2 linked regions of the Daphnia pulex genome follow. The protein of the gene in region 2 binds, or shares a complex with, the protein of the main gene of each other region. Links are inferred from orthologs where the notes say so. Each region holds a gene or a part of one and is shown on either strand. Other genes may lie near its edges. The genes, in order: serine/threonine-protein phosphatase 4 catalytic subunit and serine/threonine-protein phosphatase 4 regulatory subunit 1-like.

What was found.
Region 1: serine/threonine-protein phosphatase 4 regulatory subunit 1-like (region 2) and serine/threonine-protein phosphatase 4 catalytic subunit share a complex: the UniProt entries of both Homo sapiens proteins name them as parts of the PP4 complex. The link is inferred for Daphnia pulex from reciprocal best matches to the Homo sapiens genes PPP4R1 and PPP4C.

What each region holds. Positions count from the first base shown.
Region 1 is NC_060025.1:1,441,573-1,457,453, reverse strand, and holds serine/threonine-protein phosphatase 4 catalytic subunit, read left to right. Parts: upstream 1-6,881; 5' UTR 6,882-6,972; intron 6,973-7,358; 5' UTR 7,359-7,629; intron 7,630-7,762; 5' UTR 7,763-7,780; coding exon 7,781-7,930; intron 7,931-7,990; coding exon 7,991-8,143; intron 8,144-8,205; coding exon 8,206-8,379; intron 8,380-8,443; coding exon 8,444-8,570; intron 8,571-8,638; coding exon 8,639-8,831; intron 8,832-8,895; coding exon 8,896-9,025; 3' UTR 9,026-9,625; downstream 9,626-15,881. Other genes in the region: uncharacterized protein LOC124202225, read left to right, coding at 1,641-2,057, 2,130-2,253, 2,330-2,911, 2,981-3,070, 3,135-3,239; probable chitinase 10, read left to right, coding at 3,833-3,938, 4,000-4,455, 4,524-5,165, 5,235-5,705, 5,771-6,645; uncharacterized protein LOC124202229, read left to right, coding at 10,401-10,478, 10,545-10,888, 10,958-11,171, 11,251-11,373; globin D, coelomic-like, read right to left, coding at 12,277-12,396, 12,467-12,683, 12,747-13,009, 13,084-13,161; glycoprotein-N-acetylgalactosamine 3-beta-galactosyltransferase 1-like, read right to left, coding at 15,459-15,809, 15,869-15,881. UniProt on the Homo sapiens protein: Protein phosphatase that is involved in many processes such as microtubule organization at centrosomes, maturation of spliceosomal snRNPs, apoptosis, DNA repair, tumor necrosis factor (TNF)-alpha signaling, activation of c-Jun N-terminal kinase MAPK8, regulation of histone acetylation, DNA damage checkpoint signaling, NF-kappa-B activation and cell migration.
Region 2 is NC_060022.1:853,244-869,209, forward strand, and holds the start of serine/threonine-protein phosphatase 4 regulatory subunit 1-like, read left to right. Parts: upstream 1-7,374; 5' UTR 7,375-7,713; coding exon 7,714-7,720; intron 7,721-8,007; coding exon 8,008-8,082; intron 8,083-8,719; coding exon 8,720-8,825; intron 8,826-9,951; exon of another isoform or gene 9,952-10,784; intron 10,785-13,226; coding exon 13,227-13,339; intron 13,340-14,836; coding exon 14,837-14,985; intron 14,986-15,068; coding exon 15,069-15,215; intron 15,216-15,966. Other genes in the region: GILT-like protein 1, read right to left, coding at 1-136, 871-930; transcription factor 25-like, read right to left, coding at 2,300-2,404, 2,470-2,616, 4,584-4,662, 4,722-4,877, 4,969-5,024, 5,089-5,253, 5,314-5,398, 5,456-5,726 and 4 more. UniProt on the Homo sapiens protein: Regulatory subunit of serine/threonine-protein phosphatase 4. May play a role in regulation of cell division in renal glomeruli. The PPP4C-PPP4R1 PP4 complex may play a role in dephosphorylation and regulation of HDAC3.

The sequences.
Region 1 (15,881 bases), on a different chromosome or scaffold from region 2:
GGAAATCGATAACTACGTCTCATTATAATGATAATCCCACTACAACCAGATGTTCGGACCCTTAGTTCCTTTCTGAAGTGGCTGTTGATCACTCGACGAAGGTTTATTACCGTCACGAATTTTGTGTGTTTGTTTGTAGACGGAAACGAAAGTTGGGAGAGAGTTTGACGTTTTAATTTGGATTTTAAAGATGCTTATGGCGGCATTTACCTTTTGAAGGCCCATCTTCTCTGCAGAAGTCGACATCATTATCAGTTACCACACAGAAGTTTAAAAAAAAATCCCACTGTATTACGTTGTTAGGCTCCGGTACAACGCGATGTAATTCAATGACGAAGCAACATTTTTCACATATGTACGGAGATAAATTTAATCGCCCGCAATTATCTGTTTTTCATTTTTGTCTCCATGGAAACAATGTTATTAGACAGGAAAAGAAAAATTGTATTATTGATTCTTTGATTGCATTGTAATAACAACATTTCTTTTCGTGTTATAATTAATCGAATTACATTCGCGTTCGCAACCGCTGTGAAAAAGCGCAGCACAAAAATTTGAACGACGCAATAAACAATTTTGAATTATTTGGCAACGCCCACACATTTAAAAGCAGATTTGTTGACATTAGTAATTGCTGTGACAATTTTTCTTTTATTCAGGGCATTTTGTTTCGTCGTTCGAATTATACTGTAGAAAATGATTTCAGCTTGATTAAGAGACTACTCAGCAGTGGAAGAATTTTACCGACTTCCGCAAACGTGCCGACACCAATTCAAATGCAAAACAGTAACCCCAATTAGTTTTCTCCGTCACGTCTCCAATAACATGTCGGCATGACACGGCTTTGTTCAGTATGTAATGAACCTATCTAACACAACCATTATATCAATAGTTTGATTGGTTTTACATGTTACAATTTACAGGAATGGAGAAAATGAAGTATCAAAGTCCACATTTCTACAATGTTAGAATTCCAGAGTGCATATGTTTATCTCCCCAAGTTCTCCAAAGAGTTTGAATGATGTGATTTATTAGATTTTTCAGGTATGTGTATTTTTACTTTAAACTTTATTCTGTATGATACACATTTTTTCGCAATTTCAACACATGTTGCTAAGTATTATTGGCACACTTTCCCTATAGCTGGATTATGGCATTTTTAATTGCATGATTGTAAAAGAAAAATTAGGGTTGTGATAATGGCTATTTTGATGATGCGTTGTAGAACATAGTGCTTTCACATTTTACCCTATTAAATTCAAATATTCTCTTTGAGGTTTCACGCCCATCAATTTTCGCTCGATAACAATCATAATGATGTGGGGGAAAGGTAGACTCATCGCGGGAAAGTGTCTTAAAAGTGCAAAACGCGAACTGGTCGTGTGAAAACCATTTGTGGGGAATCGAAAATCCTTTCTCGTCTATTTGATTGATTGATTGAAAAGTCTTTGGACGCAAGTGCTTTCTTTCTAAAGATCACAAATGATGTTGACTGACGTGTCGAGGTTCCTCCCTACTTTTTTGCCAATCGAGCACATCCTTACTTTTCTAGCCTCAATAATTGATTGAATAATGATTGAATAATAGAATAATAATTGATTGAACCTGCACTCGAGTTAATGAAATGCTTTTCGATTTAGGCGACTCCAGTCCTCGCATAGCCGTGAGAACAAGACCTGGTCGCACTCGACAAGGAGGATGGCAATGAACAAGATGTCCAAGGAGGCCTGGGCCGCTAATCCAAGCCTCGGTTACGAGACTAATGACTTGGAAACAATTTTAGGTCCCGTTTTCACGCTTTTCCGATGCTTCGGTATCAATTTTCACGAACCGTCGGACACTAATTGCCGTTTTCTCCATCAAACGGCCCAGATTGGTTGGGTGGTGCTGACATTGGGGACGTGTGGATTTCGTTTACTGGTCTACTTCCCTTTCATTTTAACCAGGACGATTGCCGACGTGGAAAATAGCAAATCCACTATGCACTATTTGATCGAATTTCTCAATTACTGGATCTACATTTTGGCCGTATTTATTGGCTCCTGGTGCATGGCGAGGTAATTTACAGTTTCGTGCGTCATTAATTTTCTGTTTATAAATGTGTTCGTTTGGTTTCAAATCCAATACAGATGGTCGGCTGCTAAATTATGGCGTGCAATAGAAGATATGCTCTTGCACATTCCGTTGTCTCCCGAGGACACGGCTCGCTGCCGCAAGACTTCCGTCCAGTGCATCTTCGGCTGCCTCGTAGCAGTGAGTTTTGACACTTTTTTTTAACACTTTTGAAAATGTTTCTAATAATTTTATTGTTTTTATTTTTCCATTAAAGTTATCGCTGAACTTGATTTTATCCCTGTCGATTGAAATATCGCTTGCTTCTCCGGCCAACAGGATGGCGTTGGCGTTGCTTTCGGTCGTTTACTTTTACTCGTTTGGATCGTGCGCCCTTTTCATCAGTGCCGGCCGCATTATTTCGATTGCGTTTCAAACAGTTAGCAGTCAGCTGGAACTGAATTGCTGTCCTCCTTCAACCAATGCAGCTGTCGTCTGGAATTATCAACGCCAATTTGGCATCGCCTGCCGAGCTGCCGAGAAATTCTGCAGCACGTTTGGCTTCGTCCTCTTTGCCACCGTTTCCTACACGTTCATCGGCTTTGTCAACGCGTCCTACAACCTGCTGAAATCCTACCAGAATTTGCCGCAAGGATCGGATGGCGGTGAAGATCTTTACTTCGTCATCCCCAGAACGATTAAATTGACTTACATGATTGTTGAGCATCTCTTCCGGCTGTGGCTGATTTGTCACACGGCCGATCTGATCCGCTCCAAGGCCCTGTCGCTCGTTCCCGTCCTGCAGAGCATTCGCAACGACCTTTATTCCCGTCAGGGCTGCAACGACGAAAGTCAAGAGGTAAAATTTACATCGCACTCCATGAAAATTAACTAACAATAATGGACAAGTGCATTTTATTATGTAAAGGTGCACACCTTCCTACTGGAGGTGTCTGAAACTTCGCCCACGTTCGGAGTCCTTGGGATGTTTACCTTGACTAAACACATCATCATTTCGGTGAGTTATTGATTAGTTGATTGACTGGATGTCAATAGTTCCTGACATTTGCGTTCGTCGTCAGTTGATAGGAACCACATTAACCTATCTGGTGGTGTTGTGCCAATTCAGTACGGCGGATAATCCCGTTGCCATGACGCCCATCAGTAATGCCTCTCAGTCGTCCTAAATCAACAAAAACGGGAGTTTTTTTTTTTTTTATGTTTACGTAGTACCTTTTGTTTTAGGGGATTATAATTCACCTTGATGAAATCACGACCTTTAGTTATCGTCTGTTTTTCAGTTGTTACGTAACCGCAGTATTCATCGACGTATGTTTTTTTTTGCTGGGCTTTATTTCCCCCTCAGCCGTGAAGCAATTCTTGAATTAATTCAACTTTGATGAGAGATTAAAAATAAAAAACGAACAGTGGTCAACTTCGGTTGTCATAGATAAAGCATAATGGCGACATCTTAGATGGAACGTTCAGGAATAGAGTACAGGTGTGAGATCCGCCTAAACATGCGAGTCAAGAGTCACATTATCACGGCTGACGGAAAACAATGTATTAAACACCCACCTCCCCTCCACTATCGTGGTGTTGATCAATCCTTATCATTTATGGCTACTTCAATTGACCTGTCTCGCTGCAACTGAACAACACGCAGTACCGAGTGAATTGTTGCAAAGAGCGAAAGGAATTCTTTTCTTGTAACTTCTCAAGTTCCTTACTATTACTTACAAAATCTAAATCATAAAAGGCCCCAAAGTCACTGGTGAGGATGAAAATTGTTTTGGCGCTGGCTCTTTTGTCCTGCTGCGCAATTCCATCCGTCGTAGGAACCCGTTTCGTTTGCTACTTTCCTAACTGGACGTATTCCCGAGGAGGTATTTGAATTACATCATATTCTATTCATTGATTGGCATGATTGCTTTAAACGCTTTTCAGGTGACGGAAAGTTTGGAGTGGACAACATCGATCCATTTTTGTGTACCGATTTGGTGTATTCTTTCGCCGTCCTGGATGGAGCTACGTACCAAATAAAAATCGCTGATGAGTGGGGCGACATCGGCAATAATGGCTACGCCAGTTTCGTCGCACTCAAAACTCGCAACTCTCAACTGAAGACAACCATCGCTATTGGAGGCTGGAACGATTCTCACGACGGAACCAACAAGTACTCGAATATGGTGGCCAACCCGGCTAACCGAAAGATGTTTGTTGATTCGGTCGTGGCATTTCTTCAACTTTACAAATTTGATGGACTGGACCTCGATTGGGAATATCCGAGTGGTGAATCCGACAAAGCAGGATTTGCTGAATTACTGAAGGAACTTCGCGTTGCCTTGGGAACTAAATTGATATCTGTCGCTGTAGCGGCAAACTCGACCATAATCGACCTAGGTATAAGTTAAATTTAATTTCCAACAGATTGTTTCATTCAGACTGACACAACACAAATTTATGAATAGGCTACGATGTGGCAGTGATGGCCGAAAAAGCGGATTACATTAACGTAATGGCTTACGACATGCATGGGCCATGGGAGCCTCAAACAGATCACCACGCCCCACTTTACAGAAGATCCTGGGAAACGGTGGATAACAACATCGATTTCATCGTCAACCACTGGATAAGCAAAGGACTTCCTGCGAACAAGATTAACTTGGGAATTCCCCTATACGGCAAAAGTTGGATCCTTGGGGAAAGTGTCGAACCGGAATTTCTTGCTAAGACAAAAGGCGATGGACCAGCTGGTCCACTTACAGGAACACCTGGTTTTCTAGGATATCACGAAATCTGTAACAGCATCCACGCTGAAGGTTGGGAGACTGTTGATGATCCTGAGTACCTTAACGGCCCCTATGCCTTCTCTGCGAGTAACCCAAAGTCATGGGTGAGTTACGACGACACCAAAATGGCTGCCAAGAAGACTCAATACGTCATCGACAATCAACTGGGTGGAGCAATGGTTTGGGATATCAGTACCGACGATTTTCACAACAAATGCGGTGGTGGAGCCAATCCTCTGATGACAACTATTTCAGACAAAGTCATGAATGCCGGATCCCGCTTTATTTGCTATTTCCCAAACTGGGCCTACTATCGTCCAGGTATGTTTGCCTTCACTAGTGTGACGTTATTTTAATAATCTTATCAAATTATTTCTTTGTTAAAATAAGGCGATGGCAAATATGTAGTAGACGACATAAATGCCACACTCTGCACCGACATGGTCTACGCTTTTGCAATCCTGGATGGGAAAACTTACAAGATCAAAGAATTTGAACCTGAAATTGATTTAGGAGAAAATAAATTTTATTCAAAATTCGTCGATCTCAAGAAACAAAACTCGAAATTGAAGACAACCATCGCGATTGGGGGCTGGACAGATTCTCACGACGGAACCACCAAATATTCGGACATGGTGGCCAGCTCGACTAACCGAAGGACTTTTGTCGATTCAGTCTTGGCATTTCTTGACAAGTATAAATTTGATGGACTGGACATCGATTGGGAATATCCGAGTAGTGCGTCCGACAAAGTTGGGCTTGCTGAATTAATGAAGGAACTTCGAGCCGCATTTAATTTACAGACACCGAAATATTCACTCACTATCGCTGTGGGAGTCAATAAAACCATTAGCGACCTCGGTCAGTATTAATCAATAGTGTATATGAAATAAAAAGGTTTTTTTAATACATTTTTTCAACGTTAGGATACGACATACCTGTGTTGGCCACGACAGCTGATTACATCAACATTATGGCTTATGATATGCACGGGCCATGGGAACCTTTAACTGACCATCACGCCCCGCTCTATAAAAGAGATTGGGATACAGATGAAACCAACAATATCGATGCTGTCGTCCAGTACTGGAAAGATAGCGGTATGCCGTCCTCAAAACTCATGCTGGGAATTCCCCTATACGGAAAGTCCTGGACACTCGATTATACTTACACGGAGGATCCCACGCTTCCGGCACCCGGTTTGGGACCTGGAGCTGCAGGACCTTTAACCGGTGAATCGGGAACGTTAGGATACAACGAAATCTGTAATTATGTGAAAAACGAAAATTGGGAGGTGGTGGTCGATCCGACATTCCAAATCGGTCCATACGCTTCCACTCCGAGCGTGCCAAAGACTTGGGTTGGTTACGACGATCCCGTCATGGCCAATGTCAAAAGTCGCTACGTTCTGGAGAGGGGACTAGGCGGAGCCATGGTTTGGGACATGAGTACCGACGACTTTAGGAACACTTGTGGTGATGGACCCAATCCTATTATGACCAACATTTCACGAACTGTTGGGGTGACGACATCGACTACGACGACTTCACCGGCGGCGACCACCAAGACTACTACAGCCAGCACCTCGACGACTACGGGTGAGACAACGACAACAACGCCAACAACACCCCGTCCATCCACTACCAAACTGTCCACTTGGCCAAGAGTCACGACGGAGTCGACACAGGCTACGAGTTCGAAAACGCCATTCATACCAAACAATGGGCACCGAATTGCTGGCAATAGTCAGCAACTTACATTTTTGGCTTTCGGGTTTATTTTAATTAATTTAGTTATCTAGGACGTTAGAATTCAAATTTAACAATTTTTAATCATTTCTAATATTTTAAATCTTATTACTATATATTCAAAATCTGATTGATTCGGCCCGCAATACACACGAGTGATAATTAAATGTTGTTAATTGATATACTCATTGAGTAAGCCAAGAGAACTCTTATTTTTTTGTTGCAAAATTGCGTTAAAAATGAATTAGAAATTTGACAACTCCAATGTCGATTGAGCGAGTGCCGAGTGGCATTGTCAAGTGTCGAAACAGGAAGTGTTTAAATAAGTAATGGGTTAACGGCTACATTGTAAAGACCAGATTTCCAAGGCTTGAATCAAGGTTGGTTGTATTATGAAAGTCTTTATTGCAAACAAGTAAACGACCGTCAGAAGATCTGTGTTTTGACTGAATCAGAAATGAGAAATCAGCCTGAACATGCCCGTCTCAAGCAATCGATTTTTTTTAATCCAAAGGAATTCTGAGAAATAAAATATCAATTGAATGTCAGCGTTAGTTAAGGTCCCGTTTGAATAAACGAAACCCATCGTGACCATGTTTTGGTAGCAAACATCGGGCTGAAGGCCGACTGACGTCAGAGAATATTTCAAAATTGATAAATAATGTATCGAAATATTTTTTTTACTAGCGTGCTAGCGATGTTATCTTTATTTGTAAATTTTTTTTCTTACTAATAATATTACCAGATATTTGTAAATCATTTTCAGAACAATATCGATATTTCAACAAAAAGGAATAAAAAGCGCGCTTGAAATTAAAACTGCGGAGAAACTTGGCAACGCCGAATAATTTAATGGCGTTTAGATTGAAGCCCAGTTTTTTTGTCCGGCAACGTAAGGCAAGCCAAGGAAGTAAGGATAGCTTTGAAGAACGACGAGGACGGATTCAATTCGTGGCTTAACTCTCGATCGTCAACTTATCCAGTCACGAATTCATTCTTCGCCATCACCACTCATATTTCATTAATAACGCAAAGAGGTAAAGCTTTTATCTTATTCTCGTTCTGTGTAATGTCAGTTTCCTCATTTACCAAGTCAATGTGTATGACATCACCGGTCGGCTGTTGCACATACTCAAGGTCGTTATTCTTTATTTCCCTCTCGTCAACTAGGAAACAGACAACGTAAATATGTCAGACTTTAGTGATTTGGATCGACAGATCGAACAACTCAGACGGTGTGATATCATTAAAGAATCAGAAGTCAAAGCCTTGTGTGCCAAAGCACGGGAGATTCTGGTTGAAGAAAGCAATGTTCAGCGTGTTGACTCTCCTGTCACAGTAGGTTTCTCATAAGCTTTTGATTATTGCTCAATAACTAACATTTTTTGCTTGCTTTAGGTTTGTGGTGATATCCATGGCCAGTTTTATGATTTAAAAGAACTTTTTAAAGTGGGTGGGGATGTTCCAGACACAAATTATCTATTCATGGGAGATTTTGTTGATCGAGGATTTTACAGTGTAGAGACCTTTCTTCTCCTATTAGCTTTAAAGGTAGTATACATTTTTGTTAAGCATTTCTTTCTCTTGTTTCTGATTTGAGATTTCTTTCTTAGGTTCGTTATCCAGATCGCATCACTTTGATTAGAGGGAACCATGAATCACGTCAAATTACCCAGGTTTATGGTTTCTATGACGAATGTTTTAGAAAGTATGGTTCAGTCACTGTGTGGCGCTATTGTACTGAAATTTTCGACTACCTGAGTCTTTCAGCCATCATTGACGGCAAAGTATGCTTCCAGTAGTAACATGCATTGATAAAAACTCTAACATGACATGTTTTTCAAATTTTAGATATTCTGTGTGCATGGTGGGCTATCTCCTTCAATTCAGACACTGGATCAAATCCGAATAATTGACAGAAAGCAGGAAGTTCCTCACGATGGACCTATGTGTGATCTCCTTTGGTCTGATCCTGAAGGTAGGAAAATAAATATTGGCTATACTTCTGAAAGTGGTAATTCATTTCTGGGTGTTTGCTTTTGACAGATACACAGCAAGGATGGGGAGTGAGTCCACGCGGTGCCGGTTATCTTTTTGGCTCCGATGTTGTGCAACATTTCAACACCTCAAATGACATCGAAATGATTTGCAGAGCACACCAGCTTGTCATGGAAGGCTACAAATGGCATTTTAACGAAACGGTGCTGACGGTGTGGTCTGCCCCCAACTACTGCTATAGGTTTGTCTTAATTTCCCGCCAGATTTCACCAAGATGATTACTTAAACTTTTAATATTGCAATAGGTGTGGAAATGTAGCTGCCATTTTGGAATTGGACGAAAATCTCCATCGAGAATTCACGATTTTTGAAGCTGCCCCTCAAGAGACTCGTGGCATTCCTTCCAAAAAACCTCAAGCCGATTATTTCCTATAAGAAACGCGAAATGTTGATCGTTGATATATCCCCTGCGATTTTTTACAAAAATAATTATTCGGTAATGCATAAAACAAAAAACACAAAAAAAAAACAGTAACTGATGTGAGATACCCCATCAGTTGAAACAGAGCAAAAGAGCCTGTATCATGTTGGTTGACCATTTACCTTGACCGCCCGGACTAACAAATAGGTTTTTGAAAATTCTGTTCTGTCCAATCCCTTCCTTTTTTTTGGTAAACACAGTCTTGTCCTTTATAATAAAAATATATCTTGATCGTCCAAACAAGTGTTCAGTTTCCCTTTTCAACTTTTTGCTGCAGGATATCACATCTGACTATAAGCTACTCCCACTACTCAGTTTAATGAACAATATCTTTGTGTACGTGCGGTTATGGTATGTTGGGGGCGAATTGTGTGACGTGTGTAATTATTTTTTAACATCAGTGCTAAATATTGATGCAATGGCCATGCTTCCAAAATCTTTTTTTTTTTGTTTGTGTTGCACCCATTTATATTATTATGAATGTGATGCTTGCGATGGCTCTCAACATGCACTGTATACAATTTCTTGAAATAACGATGGACTTGAGACGAAAACATGTTTAGTGTACCTGCATTAGTTTCGAAAACAAGGCTCGATGTTTACTTTCTCAACATTGAGTCATAACGGCTATTCATTTTTACGATCGTTTTTATTATCACCGCTGTCCCGAAACAACATTGCGTGATGAATCAGCTGATAAGGTAATATCGTTGTGACATTCGACTACCGTGTGCGGTTTTGTGATAAGGTTACGTACTATCACAAGGTAATCCACGTTTAATCAACTTTCCCTTTTGTTAATTAATGGTACTATTTGACAACAATCGATTGTTGGATTCGGTTAGAGATTGAAATGGCAGCGAGTTGGCATGACTGAGCAGAAAACGCTCGTCCATAAAAGAAACTTTTGGCGATGCAATTCGAGACGCTATTTTTAGATGACTTTGATTTATTTTCCGCATTGAAATGGCATGTATGTACCGGATGGGTGTTATCTTTTGCCGATCAACGCACTCGGATGACCTAAATTTTTGTTTTAGTTATTTATTGCTCGGATTTTTATTTTTTAAAAAAGAAAACTGCAAGCAAAACATCCCAAACATAGTATCGATGCATTTCACAAATAGAAGTGGTGACCAGCAATTTTTGTTTTTTTAAAAAGATTGCCCATTTTTAGGTTTGTAAAATTGTTGACACAAGTTAAACAGATCCATTTTGCTGAAGTCAACATTAACAACCGACTATATAAACGGCGAGTTTTAAATCATTAAAGGCATCCGAGTAAAATCTTGACTGATTTGCGTCGAACAATTTTCCAATCTCCCGAAAATGACACGGTTGATTTTGGCTCTCTGTGCTCTTCTCTCTCTGGCCGTCGGACAGAGTCCATACAACGATCGATTCTCGGTAAAATTCTTTTTCTTTCTTCAACTATTTCAAAAGATTTAATTGTTAATTATTGTGTTTTAAAAGGGTGGAATAGGTTCCGGATCGTTGTATCGTGGAGGAGGAATGAGCGGCAGCGGAGGTCCGTTTGTAACGACAACTACCGTGACGACAGTTCTAGACTTGAGCACCGGAATGACGAAAACTTTCCACTCGTCCAGCAATCCGAGCAGCGGCGGAAGCAGCGGCGAGAGGTCTTCTTACCCTTACAGTGGCGGCTACGGAGGAGGTGAAAAGAATAAATTTCCGGAAGGAAGCAGCGGAACTAGCCCATTAATGAATATCCTGAGCGAAAACGATATCAGCGTCCTTGTGAATAGCTGGCATATTCTCAAGAAGCGCAGCGATTTCGCCCCCAAAGTGTTCATGAGGTATTTTTTGTTTTAATTATTATTTTAAATCAATTACGTAAATCAATCTTAACCAATTCAATTGCGCAGATATTTCAAAGCCAAACCCGAAGCTCAGAAGCTCTTCTCGGAATTCGCCAACGTGTCCATTACGGATTTGCCAAATAATCACGATTTCCTGAACGCTGCTTATTCTTGTGTGTCCAGTCTGGAATTCATCCTTCCTCATCTCAGATTCCAGCATCCGGAGCGATGCCCCGCCCTAACCGATCTCAAGAATAAATACAGCGTCGTTGATCTCAAGGTAAGGGTTTTAATTTACAAAATTGAACAAGAATTACGGTTTATTTTCTGACGCACATCTTTATTGTTTTTAAAAACAGAGGTTCGTACCCATCTGGATGGCGGCCATGCAAGAAGAGATGGGCAACGCTTACTCCAACGAAGTCCGCGATGTCTGGAAGAAGGCCTTGTCCGCTTTTACCGATTACGCTTCAACCCCATAAGCGAATTTATATTTGTTAAACGATTAATTGTATTTCATTTCGGGGTGTTATTTAGGGGGCGCTTTTTCACAGCTACTGTACAAGCTGTTTTATCTATTTTATTTGTAATATTATAACCAAGCTTTTAGTCAATACAATATTCCACGCAAAATAGCTACGCATTTATTTTTACATTGAATTGATTTTCACGACTTGCGGATGTGAAAAACAGCTGGTTGGATTTCAAGGCCTTTGTCTTTCAATCCAGACACGTGCGAGACTAGTCGTGTCAAGGCTGGTCGCTCTTTAATTTGAAGGTTAGCTTGAACAGTTGTGTGCTTTTCCCAGCCATTGTCTAACGTCTATTGCTGTCAAAAATCTCGTGATTGCGGTTTGTGTTTAATCATTTGACATTGAGTCTCACCACAGTTCGTGATTTTGTTTTTGTCAGTGTCTCTTCAGCCATTTCTCAGGTTACGTAAAATTTCGTGATATTGTAATTTGATCAAGTTTATTGGTAACGGGTTAGTTTTCGGAATATTGCATCTTTTGATTAGTTGTGAAGCATGCCAATAATTGAGTGTAGAGGATTGTGTGACAGCTAGGAATGCAAACATTCTCAGATTCAAATTATTGATAAAACAATTTGAGCAGGACAATTTCCATTCTAGCAATAACCTTTCTCTTTAACTGTAGAGTGGCTATTATTATTTATGGAAGGGCTTATAAAACTTCTGCTGGTTGTAAATTTGTAATTACGCAGAAAAGTTTCTGACGATATGTGAGAATTGAATTAGATTTCTTTGCCAATACGAGATTATTAGTTTTGATTTACTTTTTTATTGATGTCATAATATTTTCTATTTCCACTATATTAGCAATATTGTCGAATTAAATCCTTTTTTAACCACATTAATTGTCATTTTATTTAGAGGCGTATTCGATGACGGCCATGACGGCTTTCTTCCAGACATCACGCACGTCGTTGGTGAAGGCGTTGCCCATCTCCTCTTGCATAGCTGTCATCCAGATGGATCCCAGTTTCTTAAGTAAACAAATTATTGCCAAATAAGTTTCGATTTTAAATTTTTTTAATTTTGATCGTCACCATTACCTTGAGGTCGACGGCGTTGTACTTGTCCTTCAAGTGTTTGGGGAAGGCAGGGCATCTTTCAGGGTGATCGAACTTCAAATAAGGAATGAGGTAATTGAGACTCGTGATGCAGGTATAGGCCGAATTCAGGAATTCGTGATTGGTGGGTAGCTCCGTAATGGGAACATTGGCGAAGGCTGGAAACAGTTTCTGCGACTCTGGTTTCGCTTTGAAATATCTGCAACGAGTAAAATTTCATTCAAAATTATTTTTGGAATTATATAACGTAAAATAATTTTACCTAATAAAAACTTTGGGGGCGAAGTCACCACGTCTCTTCAGAGTGTTCCAAGTGTTGACGATGACATCGACGTCCTTTTGACTAAAGCTTCCGTATTTCTTATCGCCGTAGTAGTAGCTCCTTTCACTGGTGGAAGAGGGTGAACGCATAGACCTGGACATTCCAGCGGGATTGAAGTCGAGGATCGTTGTCACGGTAGTAGTCGTTACGAATGGGCCACTGCCTCTCATCGTTGAATCGCCGTGTCGGGATTCCATTCCGCCCTTTTTTTTAAATAAAAAGAACGAGCGTTGATTGCACAAATTCAATTAATAAAATTTGAAAACTGAAAACTTACCGCAATTCCTTCGTTGAAAGGACTCTGTCCGGCTGACAGAGATAGAATAGAGCAGAAAACTAGAATTAACCAACTCATTTTTTAAATTAGTGTCTAGGAGATATTTGGAAACTGTACTATGCAAATCAACCGTTAGGTAGCCAATTATCTACTCGATGTCCTGATGGAGTTAGTCGCTCGTTTTATACAGTCACTCGGCTTGTAACATCAGCAAAAGGATGGACGTGTGCTCTCCCTTAGTCGACATTTTCCGAAATCTAAAAATGTAACATCTTCATAAATAATTCGTGACTAGAATCTATTTAGGGAATTTAAAATATGGTGTCATCATTTCAAAGGCGGGCCAATTGAAATTGAGGCCAAAATTTTATGTTTTGAAATCAATACGCGTGTTTTTGAAAACCAAGCAGAAATGTTTTAAAAGTAATTTCACTAAAAAAGTCAAATCACGCGGAATTTGGTATCGCTTTAGAGCGCATCCGGTATTTCACGTTGCACAAATTTACTGCGCATATTATCGGCAGTTATGCAACATAATTTATTTTAAATCGAAATTATTAAGTGTATCGTAATCAGTTGGTTTTCCACATAAATTTTTATTAATTCATGGAAACAGGTCATGTTTTCTTAATAATTATCACCATGACTCTGATATCTTCTTAACTTTTTCTTCAAATAAATTTGTTATTAAAAACAGTAAAGAGAAACCCTCGCCTTTATATTTTCCTCTTTTGTATAATTGCGCATTCATCGTCTTGGTTACACAATGGTCTTCATCAAGAAGATGATAAAAGACCCGGTACATTTGAAAAGCATATTCGCAGTTTCCATTTTGTTTTAAAAATGATTGCTATAATCAACAGAAAGTAACATGGATTCCAACAACCGCGAATGATTTATCTCTAGTATCCTATTACCCGCATAGAAACGCGGCAGGTGCCAAGCAAAAAGAAGATTCGGACAAAAACAAATCCTCGTTGAGCTGACCTGGTTATAAATCGTCCGTTGTACCGATTGTCCGCGGTTTCTGCGTTGTTTATACGTTTTCTGGCTATTTACGGTTCTATTTCCAAAAAGGAATGACGGAGACAAATAGCAGGTAAAAGGGTAGAACAAACAAAACAATTTATCGACTCACGCAATATTCCATCGCCGTACTTTGTGAACTCGAGACTCGCATACGTGATTTCGGTTTCGCCTTAATGCCTCATTATTTATTCTGGCATGTTATTTTTTGTACTGTCATTTTACGTAGTTACGAGAGAGAATATTGAAATATTCAATTTTGTGGTGATTTAACTCGTTATTGCAACCTTGCGTACGTTCCCGCCATTTGAAAACGAATTAATCGTCTGTCCCAAGCAGACACGTGTAAAATGTTCAGCTGTGTATTCGACGATGTTCGACAATAAACGACAAGCAATCTTTGTCATGTCTTTGTGACAAAGCTGACAAAGCAAATTCAACAAGAAAATTTAAAAAAAGCTCTGTATGTATAGGTTTAGTTAATTTACCTAGTTTCACCAATTAGTCTAACAACGGTGTTTTGGAATTCTATAGGCAAAATGCAGATGCTACTTTACTGTCGAATTTGGGAAGAAGAATCATGGCGTATGGAGGATTGGGACGAGATGTTGGATTCTGTAGCAGCACTAACAAAACGTGACAAGTCTAACAACTATCTCAGGTATGTAATCTTCAAAATATGTGTTTAATGTAGCATGGTTTCGTACCAAAGATTTTGGAAAGTTGTTTCTTGTGTGCAGTTGAGTGACACAGAGATTCAATTGATGTCTGTTGTCTTATTAGCAGCCTTGCACTTTTTATCACCTATTTAATAAGATGTAAGCCAATAATAGTAAAGCAACAAACCAAATACTGCAACATGTAGCTAGACGTCAGGTTTTTTGTGGATTTTTCCAACTAATTTTTTTTTCCCTGAGGCTGCCAAGTGCTGCCATACCTTTTGATTTGCAACATTCTTTGTCGATATGTGGACATATAGGAACCCTTAATTGTTGCAGCTAGAATTTCCAACCGTTGTGAAATAAGGGCAGATTTCAATGTTTCCAAATTCCTTGATTTCCTTACAAGGAATTGAGTAGCACTAGGCTAACTACCTTGACTGTCACACCATCCGTTATTATTGAAAGGTCAATTTGACTTCTCGTTTTCTTGATCGCAAGTGGGTCGCTCAACTTGCAAATAACTCTTAAATGTCAACGTAAATAACGGAACCAAACTATTTTCTCGAATGACAGCATTTTGAAATCAGTCGAATGAAAACGGGACATTCGGTAAAAATGTATTATCACGGGCAACAGAGATATTTATTTAAAGTGTGTGACGAATCGTATGAAAATAGGATGTGTTGATTACGTTATCTTTAACTTTCTGGCTCTTTCAGTTTGTTTGATGAGTTCGTTTAATCGCTCCGTGTAATTTTTCATCGTGTATCGATTGGTCTTCACGGTAGTGGTAGAGCTGATGGTGGTAGATTCCATCATGTTACCACCAGCTGCTGAATTGCCCTCCAATTGTTTCTCTGTAACAAACCAAGGCATCGCAGTCAGATCTAAATCCGGCGGTGGTTCTGCAGTGGCAGGCCGGTCTTCCGCCCCCAATCCGAACGGCCTGAGCCGATAAATCAGATATTCCAGGAGAAACATTTGCTCAGGTTTGACGTAGTGAAAAGAGATTGCACTGTCTGAACAACATTCCAGTCCCTAAATGGTTGCAAACGTTATGATACGAGTACAACAATGGAGGTTTTATATTATTATACCTCTTTGGCGGGG
Region 2 (15,966 bases):
ATGGGATCAATCTTAAATCGGTAAAAGTGGAAAGCGTCGGCCAGTTGGGATTTAATTGATTCACGAGGAAATTGCGGCTGTCGGGACAAAGGGATTCGTAATAAACATCCAGGGTCATTCGTTCACCAGCTCTAGTCTTTTAATTTTAGAACAAATTAAAAATCATATAATAGATTACAAGTTGTTGCATAATAAACGATAATAAGTCTAGGATTAGATTAAGCACAAAGTATGACGATGCTATTTTATTTTATCAACAAGCGTGGCATGCTGCTGGTTTCATCAGGGATGGAAATGACTTAATCCAGCATGGATAAAGGCATGATAAAGCATGTCAAGGATAAAATAAAGAGCATAAAACAATCACGTGAAAGGTGCGTTGGCCAGAGTCGATTGTAAATGTAGGCTAACACACTATGCTGGTATCCCCCCCCCCCTGCTGAACATTTTTCTTTCGATATTGTCACACATCATCGCTGTTCAGAAATAATAGTATATACTATAATTCTGGCTTAACGCCATATAAGCTTCATCAAAAAACGTTCTCGCTTGCTTAACCACGTGTGGGTTATATAAGCGACGAAATAAAAAAAGTGACAGTATCATCAGAGCTATACGACGCCCCATTGTTGGAAAAAAATGAGTCACCTCCATCACTTTCCACATGGGAAAAGAAGTTGACAATTTGGGCACACATGTACATATAAGACCGCGTCTTTGATTAACTCTGTATTTATTCATAAACTCTATGACGCCAATAAAGACAGGTGAGAGCATATAAAGATTGACGCCTGCATTGCTGTATAAAGAGTGGACCACACACGGATAGTTTCTATTAAATAAAAAGAATTCTTTTTGTAATATTATTACCTGAGGGGCTCCACCAACCACGCAGATCAAGGCGAACCCACATAGAATAAGCGATCGCATTTTCGGTGTTAGTTTGATGTGAATTTTTCTTAAAGAATCAGGATCGAATCAAAGTAACTGTTTTTTCAGCTCACCCTGCAAGGATCTGTGTGTTTTTGTAGTGATGATTTACAGTCAGGATGTAACCTCTGTATGCCTATATATAACATTTGATAAGGTGGAATTATTTGCTATCGCGATAGAGCGAGATGTCGTGTGCTCCATTAGACCTGCCCATGAAGCATAATGATATCATAATTGATGCTGGTGAACTTTCGTCTAGGAGATAGAAATCGGACCATTCAACTTGTTACGTAATTCGAAAGAGAAAGGGAAGTCTATCGTGAACAATAACATTTTCCCCTTCGTTGAACCTGTTATAAGAGAAATTGGTTTAATTCCTACGAACTCACAAAAACTTGTTCACTTGCAAAATGTACACACAGTTTCATTAAATGTGTGTCATTTAAGTATAGTTGCAATTCGCATACTTGCATTCCTATAGCAACAAAATATTAGCCAATAACGTAAAATTATATAACAATCAAATGTTTGCGGTAGAAAGCGTTATCACGTAGTTAGTAACAAAACCAGTCAGACAGTCTCAATTAAAACAGAGGAGAGAATTCCCAATTAGGGAGCAATTAAAACGACAGGGGAACATGTTCACTTTCTGACGTTCTTTTATAATTTTGGTTGTTGCCCTTATACTCGCCACTTGGCAAAGCTATCAGTACATTTTTTTTCGGTCTTCAATTATCGTACAGCGGCGAGACCTGATCAGAATATTCAAATTTATTTTAACGTAACATAAATTATTCACATTTTTTTTTTCATCCACGAAATCTATTTAGAATAGTTGCTCATTTTCCGTTGCGATGTTAGCGGTGTAACACGACGCCAGACTATTCATCTTCATAATGGGTTCATCTTTCATTTGATCCTGCATCATTTGAACCCGATGAACCTAAGCAGTCAAAAATCAGGTCCATTATATAGTCATAAATGTTTCTTTAATTTTTGGCTCATTGTGAAAACCTATTTGCATAATAATAGTATAAAATATTTCATAAAAACTTGCACAATGAAGGTCACCGTGTCGAAAACAGACCACCTTTCAAAGCAAAATGAATACCAATATAAAAATAATTCGGAAATCGGTGCTTTCTTTTAAGAGTTAACTTTCAAGTGAGTCTTGTATTTATAATGTAGGGCCTATCGAAAACAAATGTATTACAAAATGTTACATTTTGATACATTACTTCAGTACCCAGCATTGAAGTTAACTAAAATTTGGACGGAATAACAATATTCGAATAAATGGAATGTCGATTTTTATGCTTCACAATCCCCAACGGGGATGGGTTTGCTCATCATCTAGACGGATCACCTAGAGAACATTGGAAAGGCAAGACGGAGCGTTAAATCCGTTATGATTGCAAGCAACAGATCTTAGATTGGAAAGACTACTCCATTGCTTGCCATCATCAAACACCTGTAAAATACCCCCAAAATTAATAATCAGTTGGAAATATTATTAAAGTTAATAGTAATTTTCACCTTATCATAAACAACCCACGGGACAAAAGTGAGAGTAGGTTGCAGAGTTAAAGTTTCCGTTCCATGCGCCACAGCCAATTCTTGGCCCTCGCTAGTCTTCGTGCAGGTGTCAATCGGTGTAAAGTCCAAACCGGCTAATTCGGCGCACTATATGAAATGGAAATATTTATAAAATTTCTTCAATTTTCATTCGGAGAATCCCGTACTAACCTGAGCTCCAGAAGTTGGTGCTCTCATCAGACACGATGCGTAGTTCAGCGCCTTATTATTGAAATAGAATTTAGTTTCCCAAGCTTTTATGAAACCCACATGTACATTTCGAAAGAGATACCTGAGTGTTGTCTTTACTGTATTTGATACCGCAGGCGTGCAGGATATTTCCAGTGCACTCAGCCGAACCGTGTTGACACTTGAAGGACCATCCACCCGATGAGTTTTGGGAAAACTACAAACAATTGTCAAGTTCATTGTATAAACAGGCAATTTCTGATTGCAACAAAGAAATAATAATAACGGGACATAGGACATACGCTTGCTTTGCCAAAAGGGATCAGCCTGAGGTTGACGAAAGAGGAGAGACTTTTCCATTGCGGCGCCAACTGATTGACCAAGAAGGCCCGGCTGTCGGGACACAAGGACTCGTAGTAGACGTCCAGATTCGTTCGTCCACTATTTCCGAGCTATTAAATCATCAAAACATTATGAAGGCACAGTCACGACTCACGAGTAAGAAATTAAAATCCAAACTGTCAACTAGATAAATTGAGCTATGCGAGGATGGAATGGCAGAGAAAATCATTTTTAAAGTTTCAGCTGTGTGACAAAACAAAAAGAATAAAACCCAACAAATATTTGAGGTTCAGCCGGAATGCGACGTGCGAGATTGATGAAATTCTTCGAGCAAAATAGTTGCCTACTATACAATTTCTATCACTTCCCTGAAATTCTGGCGTCAAGGTAGTTTTCAATACCTCCGCATGATTTCCAGCGGGGATGGCGCAGTCTATTGACCTTGGGTCCATGAGCCTTGCCTCTCCCCGGAGCTTTTTTTTCTTTTTTTAATTATTTCTTTCCTCTTATGTTTTTCTTAGGTGTTGTTTTGTTTTTACAATTTTAAGGTTAAACGAGAAAAAGGGGCGTGCCAACTTGCAAGGAAAATATTACACAATTTTTTTACAACACTTAAAATAACAAATCTTATAAATTAAGAAAAACAAGAAAATTATTAAACAATGTTTTACTTTAAATATATGAGCCAATTAAAATTAAAAATCTGAAATTAATTGACAATAATTAATTGTTATGCAAAATGATTACCCCAGCAGTGTTGACAAAGCTGACGCACAGCAAGGCAGAGGCTAACAAAAACTTGAACATTTTGGCAACTCACAAGGTGAAGTCTACAAGAAAGTTGAATTCAAGCACCGTCTGCAAGCACGTCCACTCTCTCCCGGAACTTGCTGAGCAATGTCTGCATATTCGAGCGAGCCGAACGACCAAGGCTATACATGTTATCCACTCCTCGATTCCTATTCTTTTCGCCTCTCACTGATCAAACAGGTGTGCTGAAGTGAGAGTCGAGCTGGACGCCAGCTGTGAATGTTTTCACGCGTGCATTGTAAACGAAACAACGGATCTTTTTTTTTTCAAATAATACAAAATTGTCCCAACAAAAAAGACTATTCTTCGTTGAAGTTGGCGCCAATAAACTGAAACTAGAACAAATCCATTACGATATTCTGGACAAAATCGAGGTCGCCAATTTACAGCTAAAATGTGCTGTGCTCTATTTCCTGGTTGAAACGCCCGTTGGTATCAGAATTTTCAAGGCGTGGCACTTGAGCGCCAAAAAAGTGCTACCCAATTGAACTAAAATACCAAAATGGCCATTCTGATCTTATTTCATTGAAGGCAGACTTACAGAATAAGGAACAACAAATCGTGTTACTTCCACCCCAGTGTAAAATAAGAATAATGTAACAAAATTGTATAGTACAGACACACTGCCATCAGTCAGAGTGATCGTCTTCATCATCGTTTGAATCGTTGAAAGGAAGATCGGGAAGCTGAATGTTGCTCAGCAAGTCACGCATGGCCGCCACCAATGTGGCAACGCTCTGTTGAAGATTGGCTCCCGCTCCTTCGGCAGCAATCTCTTCATTTTCTTGCAAATCGACATTGGCACGAGGAGGTCTGCAACAATTAAACATGTTGAAATAATTTTAAAAAATCAAATAAAATACAAGGCATACCTTCCAGGTTGTCGCTGAACGGCTTGTTGATTATTAACAACTTCCTGCGGATTAAAACCGGGTAAGAGTGACCGGAAGAACGAACTGATCAAACCTCCTTCCAACTGGCTGGCGGCTGTGGCATTATTGGTTCGAGTTGGTCGACTGTAGCTCGAGCTACAGTAATTTTATATAAATTTTATAAATTTATTTAATTTAATAATAATAATTTAATAATTAATAATTTCTATTTTTTACTATTACTTACACCGATTCTACAGGCGGTAGAGGATCAAAAGACATGACTGAACCAGCTGCCAGTTCCTGGATGTTTAAACAAGAAATAAATAAGAACGCTTCTTATTTAGAAAAGTATTTTGAGTTGAACCTGGGGTAGCGTGGCGGTAGCATCTTTGATATCTGACAGGAGAATATGTCGGTAGATATTTCTTGGCGTTCCTTGGTAGCGCGTTTTACGCTTTTCCTCGTATTCTAGGGCAATCGAAGGCTGGCGATCAACCTCATTTAAACAGCTGTTGGCGTTTCGTTCCAACTATAATTTTAGAGTTGGTTGTTAATACAAATTGATTTATGGCAACACATTGTTAAATACCCAAGGAAGGAGTTCAGCATCTTTCCAAAGGTGAAATGAGCGTCCGATGTACAGTTGAATTAAATTGTTCAACGACGGCGAATGACTACGCATGCAAGCAATTAATACTTGAACGCGAAATATTTTAAACTTGGTTACGTACCTGAAAGGTGTTTTGGGTGAAAAGTACTCGTGTCTGACTACTCTAACGTCAGCTTGAATGGAGCACTTATCTAACAAAGGAATTAATACTCCTGGGAACATTAGCAGGGCCTGTTTAAGGTATTCGTCTGCAAGTGGAAGGCTTTTGGGGTCAGTTTTTGAATGGTAGAAGTGGGCCAAAGCAATAGCGAAAGCCATATTAGGCAGTTGGGACAAATTTTTCTTGGATTCAAAGAATCCAAAAAATTCAATGAACCAAGAATATTCACTGGCTTGAAATAAAGACGTCAAATTAAACGAACGATTCTTTTTACATTAAAAAAAATTAAAAAAATGCGTAATACCTTTGATGGCGTAAAAGTCTATCATCAGAATAACTGCCAAGGGATCGGAATCCAAATCCAATGTATAAAGAAGTTTACAAAATTCCAAAGCAGTTCGGTAACATCCTCGCAAACCGATGGAAACCAAATGTTTGAATATGGCCAAAAATAATGCCCTTGAAGTAAACCAAATATGTGATTGAAGTGTAGGACAAAAGTCTGAAATAATTATACCTGTTTTCCTGTTGCTTATATTCGAGGCGACAATTTCCGGATGCCAAATTGAATGAAGGATGAAAAGCACTTTCAAGAATGTATAAGGCTCGCTCGATGAGTTCTCCTGCCATTTGCGGGTCTTCACTCATTCTGCAGATATCAGACAGCTGGATCAGCGAGTCTATATGGTATGGATACATATTCACAAGTGCAACAATATTTGTGGGATTCAATGAGCTGACAGCCTCCCAGAAATCGTACTGTATTTGACGATACTCTTTGTTGTGCTCATATTTGAAATAGAAACAACCATCCTTTGTTTGATCCAAACTCATTGAAAGTCCTAATATAAAACATGAATTCAACATCATATTAAAATTCATAAAAGATCTTTTAACTTCACAACACAAACCTGTTTTTCTTATTTGGGACCAATTGTCTTTGGAATTGATTAGCCATGTTGACTTTACATAAGCCCTCCCCCTGGCTTTCTTCTTTTGTGCTGAAACCACCACTCTGCTGCCAAAGATTTTCTTCAGCTCATTGTCAGAATTAAGATTTTTTTGTTCTAAACTGAGGACATTTTTAGCAGCAACTTGTTTGGAAACTGGCGTCTCATGGCCATTTGAAGGTGCAATATTAACTAGAAATTCATTGTCCAAATCATCAGCATCATCATCAAGCTGTGCACTTTGCTTCTTCTTCTTCTTGGTCTTTTTCTTAGGTTTGGTTCCTGTTTGAACTATGTGTGATGTGTCTTCTTCCGATTCATCAGGAGTGGGTGGTTCTTCGACACTTTCCTTGTCTGAGTCGTCACCTTCATGCAACTAGGAGAGTAAACAGGATGAATTTTGAATCACATTTACATGACACGATTATTTTATATACCAAATCAAACATATTGATGGCGGGTTTCTTCTTTCGATTTCCATTGACATTTCTTATGACAGGCGCATCATCAAGCTCCTCTTCTTCTAGTTGTAGGCTTGATGCCAATGTTGATAACTCATCCTTTTCTCCATGAATTTTGCGAAGCTGTCTATTTGACATGATCTGTATTTAATAAATTGCAAATCAGAAAAACAAGATATCGCTCCCGATATAGTAATCGTTTGGACAGTGTGTATTTTGGGTTGTGGGCCCACGTAATCGTCTGCATGAAACAAACCATCTAGCGGTCAAAAAAGCACTTAATTATTTTTGGAATTTTGGTAAAGTAGTTTTCGTGACTTTTCGATGCACTATTTGATTTTGGAATCAATTTAAAATGATTTTATGGTTGTGTGGTATTTATTGAAATGATTTTGATACACTTTTGGTCAATATTTCGTAATGGATGATTGCTACCCATAGTGTGCTGCCACCTGGCGCTTTTCACATTCGAAAAACGCTCAGTCAAACGCTTTCTGTCAAACGTGTAAAACCCTAGAAATTTGCCCATCGTGCTGAATGAAAATTCTTGTGTGCTTGATGTTTCGTTTTATCAAAAATGATTTCATCCGACCTTGGTGATAATGACTCAGTTATTGGTAACCGTTTGAACTGATTGGAAAAAGAAACGATTCTCCCACAAAACTTGGCTCAACTGAATTGTGCATTTATTTTATGTGCTTGGGAAAAAAGGGCATTGAGAGAAAAAAAAAGGAGGCAGCAAACGTAGTAAACGGCGCCTATCGGCAAAAGACTGAAGCTCGTTTCAGTCTGTACTGGTGCTCCCATCATGGCGGGTTAGTTGGCTGTTTCAGACTGTCAAATTTCATTTTTTTCCCTCATCTAGTTTGCTAGTTGTTAGTCATTCTCATGTTTAACCTAACTAGTACCATTGATATTGTCTGATTTGTAAGTAAAAGGCTGTACTTGTTGACTTTGCAATGGCTGCTCTCGTGGTACCATGTAGTCTAGGCGATTACGGACGTGTAGTAGAGTAGAGAGAGATTGTGTGTTGCTCAAAGTGTTTGGTTGGCGTGGTGTGTGCTGAAAGCGTGTTGATTTTGATCTTATTTATCATTGTCAGATGATCCACCTTCGTCCTCGCCACCGGAGGAAGATGAAGAAGAAGATGAAGACTCGAAATCATCGCAGCAACAAGGTAATAAACCCGAAATTCTTGTCGTTTTATTCCAGCCCGAAAAATTCCTCAGTCGGCGGTGGCATGTGGTTCGTCGATTTTCGCGTTACTGGCGCGACTTCTTTCTCTTGACAACAGTCAACAGCAGCAGCAGTTGAAGAGAAAAACGGCATGCCTGTTTTTTCACGGTTCAAGTGGCTTTTTTCCCTCTCATTTTTGTGTAAAAATCTTATCTTGAATGGAGTAGAGGGAGAAGAAAAAGAGGGTAACAGGAACCTTGTTAGTAGGGGGGGTTATTGGCGCCAAAAAAGAAAATGCCAGGCCTGGGCCGCATTGTGTTACACACAGCGCCATCATTTTCATTCTGGGAACAAACATTCCTCTCTCTCTCCCAAAAAGATTTTTCCTTTTTGTTTTTTTTTCTCCTTTTAAAAATTCTTGACGTCGTTAAAAAAAAAAGTCGTTGGAATGTTTTTCCGACCGATTTCTCTCTCCCCCCCAACACTTAACGTTATTTGGAAACTGTTGTGTGGTATTTTCTTATTTAAAAAAAACCAAGTAATGAAGTTTTCAGTCTTTTTTTAAAATGTATGCGGAATGTTGCCAAAATCTGCAACTTTTATTTTTTTGGCTAATAAAACTTAAAATTTTTCTTCAGATGATGAAGGCGATTCTTCTGAAGAGGAAAGGAGTTCCAGCGGTCGTGAATCGGTTTCAATCACGGAGATGGAAGCCTGTCTGGAGAACGGCAACGCTTTCAACAGGTCAGTTCAAGAAACATGTCCTATTATTCTGTACAAAAAGCTTAAGGCTAAGTCATCTAGAGATTCCACTTTTAACTAGTTTTCCGGCTCAAAAGAAATGAATAGCTTTTTCGAGATGGATTAAAAAATCTGTCACTTTAATGAATAATGGCACCTGCTCCGAGTAAAAACCCTCCTTTTTAGTAATCATTTAGTATAAGAAGCATATCTCTCACATTCCGATTGAAATCTGTTTGAACACGTCCATATTGGGTTTGTATGGCGTGATAGATTACACGACCGATAGCCCAACGAATTCTGGTAAATCTGATAGTGAAATCATGACTTTTAATTAATAACGGTCCGAAACACCTGCCGTTGAGCATCATCCACCTGGTATTATTATTAAATTCATGTTTTGACATTCAACGCTGTATGGACAACACTGGGACAAATGACCTAATGAAGGTGGTGGTGGAGGCCTGCTGTTGGTTGCGTGCGCAGTTACACGACGCCTTAATAGTGCGTTACTACTCGCTTTTTTACTCCAATGTTGACGGTGCAGCCTTTCCCTCGAGCTCTACTTCTCCCATAGAATAAAAACTGCGTCATTTGCTCGTGTACATTTTTTGGCGGGAAAGTCGATCGATGGAGATAATTCGATTTTTTAGTCCCTCCACTCGAGCATGTTGTGTGTTGTGCACCGTATCATTTTCTTTTATGGTTTCATTTTATTTTGGTGGTGGTCGTTGGTAGGCCAGTGGATATAGTTACATCGGCCAAAAAATTTTGAAATTATTTCGGCGCGCTCGAATTATGACGCACGCCCTTGGCCTCAATTTTTATATTTTTTGGTTGAGCCTCTCTACGTCGTCGTCGGTTGTTCAGGTCAATCCTTTTTATTTTCTCTCGCCAACAATTTCCACGAGATGGTGCGCCGATCGAAAGCAAGACCGGAAGTGAAACTTGGAAGAAGAAGAAGAATGTTGGCGCCAAAAAAGTGAAAAAGGAAAATTGAGAAGAGGAAAAACGGCCGATAGGGACGCCATTCAAAAATGTTTAGGGGGTGAAAAAAGCGCCCGAGGCATAGTGATGTAAGCGCCTCTCGGTGGCCGTTTGGTGAACGAATCCCCCCTCTCCACCACCACCCTCTTTTAAGGCGATGGAATGGCCGCTGTTTGTGCACCAATCGCCATGGGGCGATTTTTTTCTAGTCTGCAACGTGATTGGCCACCTCGTCTCCCACCCTATGTGGGCGGAGTCTGGTCTGAAAACGCACCCCTAGAAAACCTTAGATACGTACGCACACACGGGCAGAACACGTTCTCCTGCTCCCACCCCACACTCTCCACTCTTTTTCCGTCTTCGTTCACTCGCGTGTGTGTGTGTGTGTTGGCTCGGCGTGTTGTATTCAACCCCCCTGGCGGTCACTACGTCGTAGTACATTTCGGCTATCGTCGTCCGTGTGTGTGTGTATGTGTGTATGTGGTTGGAGACGTTTTGAACTGCAGACAAAAACAGCCGAAATTCTTGTGCCCGCGCGCACAGAGTCCTTTTTTTTCGTTTCTGACTATTCGTTCAACAACTTTTAACAGACTTGATTGGAGTGTGTTTGTTTCCTGTGACGCCATCGAAGAATTACTAGCCGAAAAAAGTGATGGACGCTATGGCAGGGAGACGCACATTGGGGGTGAAACAAAACTTTGGACGAGGGGGGAGTTCAAGACCGGAAGCGCGTCCCTCCCTCCCTCCCTCGTGTGTGTGTACGTGTGGTGAGGAGTAGCCATCTGCTCCTCTTTTTCTTTTTACACACACACACACACACGTTCAGCTGCCATGTTGGTTTCATTCGTCGTAGGCCTTTGGGGTACGTCGTCGTCCAAGTAGTCGGAGCACCACCCACCAGCCCTCCCGATGGCGCTACTTGATTGACTACTAACCCCCCTCCAGCCGACGCGTCTCCCGACCTTTTTAATGATGGTAAGAGTTGATGTTTTCTCTCTCTCCTTCCCCATGCTGGCGTTTGTTTTGACGATGAGTCAGGCCTCCTCCTCCCTTTAAATATATTTTCCGGTGGCGTCGTGTGTGTGACGTCATCCTGTGAATGGTATTGATTTATACCCTGCCTCCTCCTCGCAACAGCGACAAAATTTCCTTGGCCTTGCGCAATGGCGTCCTCACGTGATGAGACTCGCGTGTGTGTTGACATTGCCGACGCCGATCTAAATCGCACGTCAATGAGGAAACGTACTCGGAAAAAAGTTTCTTTCCCCCGTACAAGGCGTTGGGACGGAGAAATTCCTTTTCTCTCTCTACATGCCCGCCTCTTTGCCCACAGGGTTCATGTTTGACTGCATTCCTCAACCAACCCAACCAGCCAGCCTCCCTCTTTCTAGTTGGCTTGGCCGAGATACCACCGATTGATCCGTCCCCTCCATATAAAAATAAATAAATACTTGACCTAATCGTCTTTGGAAACCCCAGCAAAAATATTTTAAAAGTTCTCAGGTGTCGCTTCTTCCGGTTTCCGTTGTGTGTGTAACGCGAGTCGACAGGAACAAGTTTTTTCGGTGCGTCTTTTTGGAGAGAAAAAAGAAAATGGCGCGCGCGCCTCAAGGTGCAAGACCGGAAGTCGAGGATATTCCACGGGTTTCTCTTCTCTGGTTAAAAAGAAAAAGGGTCACATATATTTTTCAATCGGTTTTTTGGTTAAAATAAATAAAAAAAATTTCGTTGTGGCAGCAGCAGCCATCTTGAGGTCGCAAGAATGCTTATCTCCTCCGTCTTATATATATATTTTTATGTATGCGAGGAGAGAGAGGAAGCTGTTAGCCATGGGCGCATTCCTGTGAACCGAGGGGGGAGAGATGAGCCGAGCAGCTGGAAGGGCCAAATTCTCTTCCGTTGGGTTTGGTGGTGGTGGTAGGCTTACCCCTAAAGCTCTACTCTGCCATTGGCTTTGCCACTATTCTCTTACCCGTCGTCGTCTTTCTCCGATTTCAGCATCTTTTTCCCCGTTTCTCCTACAACCCTGACCATCACTACAAGAAAATCTTAGGCAATCTTGTTACCTGACGATAATGATAATTTACTTATCTCGGCGACACAAAATGGGGTCCAGGGCTTCCCACGGGTTTTCGGTTTCTTTCCAGTCATAAAACAAAATGGTCGCCCCCCTCCTCTTCAGTTTTTTGGGAAAAATCAAAAGGGAAATGGCGGACTGGCTACCACCACCTAAACGATGGAATTAATCAACTTGATTGAGAGTAATGACTGTAATTTCAGCATTTTTCGGATGGTTCGATCGGAAAGCATCAATTAAATAATTTCAATTCCCATTGACAGAATTTTCAAAAACATGGTTGTGTGTGTGTGTAGGGTGGGGAACGCGTCGCCGCCATTTTGTCGAGCCGTGAAAAACGCGTACAAAATGGCCGCCGACTCCATTTCCCAAGTTTATACGGCGTGCCGTTCTTCAGAAATTTGACGATTATTTTCAACTGTCGAGCGCTAAAATAATGAATTTCTTTTCAATATCGACGTTGTCATCTGGATGCGGGTTGTTGTTTTTTTTCTTCTTCTCCCGAAACCATCTGGCGATCCCGGGGAAAATGCTCTGGCTGGGGTTAAGGACGATCCATCACCTCTTCTTTCAGCAACAAACAACATGGTGGAAATTTGAAAAAGAGAATTGGGGTGAGAGAGGGGGAGAAAAAGAAAGAAGAGGATTCGTCGTCGAATGATGGGAGGGTGAGAGTGGGGCCCTTGGGGTAAATATAGAGAAGAGGGGGAACTCACCCTCCGCTTCTTCCCTATTTCGCCCCAAGGCTTCTGCGGAAAAATCAATACTTTGACCTCCTCCCCTCTCTACTACGTTCTCCCCCCCTGTCTGTTTGTGCAGCGGCCATAGGTAAAAACTTGAAAAAGTTGTTGGGTTCATCAACAAAAATATATATAATACTACTACTACTACCAAGGTAGTAGTAGTTTAAGCGCATAGGAGTTGATCCAATAGAAAACCGAGTAGGTAAACCTATTAGCTCAAATAACCATCCGTCGTTTTGGACTTTACCAATCGATATCAGTCGAAATAATTTGGTTGCACGTTCAATTGTTGTAGGAATAGTGTTCATTTGTTGAAAATAATTTCGAATCGAAAATGTTTGGCCTATTGGGTGAAATAGCCACCTGAAACGGTTTTGCGCGCCTTTTAATCCTCTGAAAATGCATAGGCCGCCACCTGGTGTGGGGTTTTGAAACCACTCGGTGCAACCCACCCCGATCGGCCAATAGAAATCGAGCCAAATTACAAATAGAACGGAGAAATAAAATGTCTTCTTCTTCTTAAAATAAAAAGAAGAAATCAGAGAAATGACTCAATAATAATTCCTTGTCTTGATTTCTATATTTATAACAACACAGGGAGCTGGTGGCGCGTGTGATTTTAGAAACGCTGCGTTCGATTCCCGTTCCCGATGTTCATCACGACCTACGCCGAGTGTTGGCCATCATCTCACGCCTGGGCGAAGATTCAGGTATGACTGTGGGGACGACGACGAAAATGTCTGTGTGTGTGTGTGTCGCCCAAAATAATCATCATTATCATAACAACAATGCGGGGTCGCGATTGGTTCTGGACGGAGACAAGAAGAGGCTCCCGCTGATGGATGGGTTCCAGAGTGTAGTTAGCATTTCTCTTCCGTCGTTTCAGGCGCGCACGCGTTTCGTGTCAAATCTCCTCCTCGGCCAGTTCTTTTTTCGAACGACCAAGTGACTGTGTGGTGGAGGGAGACTATTCTTATTTATAGAAAAAAACATCAGGCTAAAGGAGCGCGCGCTCTAGGAGAGATGGATTGGGTAACTGTGTGCTGCTGCTGCTGCTCGACTATTCCGGAATTGGATGCCCTTTGCCAAGATGTTTGGCGGGAGGAGGAGGAGCTTTGGTCCAGTTTGTGGGTTTCCTTCCTCATTGGTCCAATTCGTTTTTCTCTCTTTTTTTTCCGGGCAGCCACAAGAGTTGATTAGACTCTCCGGAATACAGGAGCAAGGAGCAGCAGCAACAGCAGTTGTCGCATCGAGAGAAGAAGACGGATGCGCTTCACTGATGCTAATTAAAAAATACCCGAGATTGGGAAGAAGAAGAAGAAGAGGGGGTGGGGTGAAATAACTTTGAGCTCTCCTACCTAAACCTTATAGATAGATAGTGGCATGCCACCACCACTAGTACACATTTCTTTTCTTGTGTGTGTGTGTGTGTGTGTGTGTCCCGGAATAAAATTAGTGGGCAAGGATCGTAGAGTGTTTTAGTATCGCTTCCGCGCTCAGTTGCGTCACACCTACACAAAAACTCTCGTCTCCTTCCTTCCTTCCACTCGGGAGCGCGGACGGCGGCTCCTTCCGCACTCGACAGTTCCGGTCTACCCCAAATGTCGATTCGAGGTTTGATGTGTTGTTGTTGTTGTTGTTGTTGTGTCATTTTTGGTCGGGTTGGAGGGGGGAGAAAATCGATTTATGCTCCAGTTGTAGTCGTAGTGCGTAAGGAGCCATGTGGCCGGGTTGAAACGACGTTGTAGTACAGCTGGCCGGCCCTCTTGCGGTCCAGACCAAGTCTCGAGGTATCTCCTGCAAGTTGCAGCAGCCGGGATTGTGTGTGTCGTTTGCAAGTAGAGATGCGATTGGTCTGGGGAGTGTCGCGCGTGCGGCACTGTTGTTTGAGCTTCGCACGTGCGCTCCAACCCTCCTTCTTCTTCTTCTCCCCTCTTGCGACGTTCATCCATCAACGAGTCTGCCAATGAGTTGCGTCTCCCATGTTCTCATTATCTCGGCTTCTTGAAGCCACCCTCCTACTCCTAATGTCTACCCAAGCGGAAAAGGGTTACGTCTTTGACGTGACCCCCCGGTCGTCGTACTACTCGTAAAAAAGGAAAAATTTCCCCTGCGATGAGCGGAAGTTCGTTAACGTTGATGAGTGTCGAGAAAAACAGAAAATGGAGGGAAAATGTGTGGCTCAAACTGAGATTTTACTTTTGCAGAGCCTTCAGTTCGGGCTGAGCTGATGGAGCAGGTGCCCCACGTGGCCATGTATTGCCACGAAGAGAAAGATGAACACCAATGGATGCACTTGGTCCCTTCGTTTTTACTTCCTTTGGTCGTCCGCTACCTCACCGACGTCAACAATCAGGTTGGGTTTTATTCATTTTGCCTATTTTATTTTTATTTATTTATTCATCGATTGGGTTTATTTTTAATTCACGAATGGAATAGGTTCGTAAAACAGCTCAGGCCGCCCTTTTGGTGCTTCTGGAACAAGAACTTGTGGCTCACAACGACGTCGAAGATCAAGTCTGTCCACTTTTGCTCATGTTGACCAATTCGGACGCTCACGATGATTTCCGAACAGAAGCCGCAGCTGTAAGTGTTCCATCTCTTGTCCTTTAATTCAATTTTGGGGGGTTCTATGTATAAAATGTGCGTGAAAGGCATCGGCCTGAAAGACATGGGTAGTGAGATGTTGGCCTGGTAGTTCCTCACCTCTCACTACTTTGTCGTTCATGTCGTGCACTTTTCCAAATCTTCGCTCATTTTACAATCGCCGTTTCGACCGATTTCGGGCCGTCAGAGTCGACTGGGAAATGCTATCGATACGATGAAGTTTCCGCGCGAAATTTCAAAAGTCATATCACAGCCAGCTTTGACGAGCCGGATATCGAGTCTCATTCATCTTTCGTCTAAATCAACACGGGGAAATAATAATAATTTAATACGAAAAAAAAAAAAGACATTTGACGCAATTGCGCCGCTCGTCGGAAAGGCTGTGGTGTGTTGCCATTTTACAATTTCATATCACAGCCATTCTAGATGCGCGGAGCTGCCGGAAGACGCAGAGAAATTATTATTTGAGCATCGAGTTTGGTTTTCGCTACTACGTGCCGCTCGCAAAGTGGCTGTCATGTGTCCCAATTTCAAGTTCAGCGTTTCATATCACAGCCAGCTTTGATGAGCGGGACGTTTTGTGGCCTTCCTCGGAAAATCCGGTAAATCATCGAGCGGAAGTGTTGTGTAACTCTTGTTGATTATGTCACTGTTTTTCCAAGGGTGTCGTGTGTATTAGCTTGTCAGAGTGGTTGCGATGTGCGTCATGTTGTACTCGTATCACAGCCAG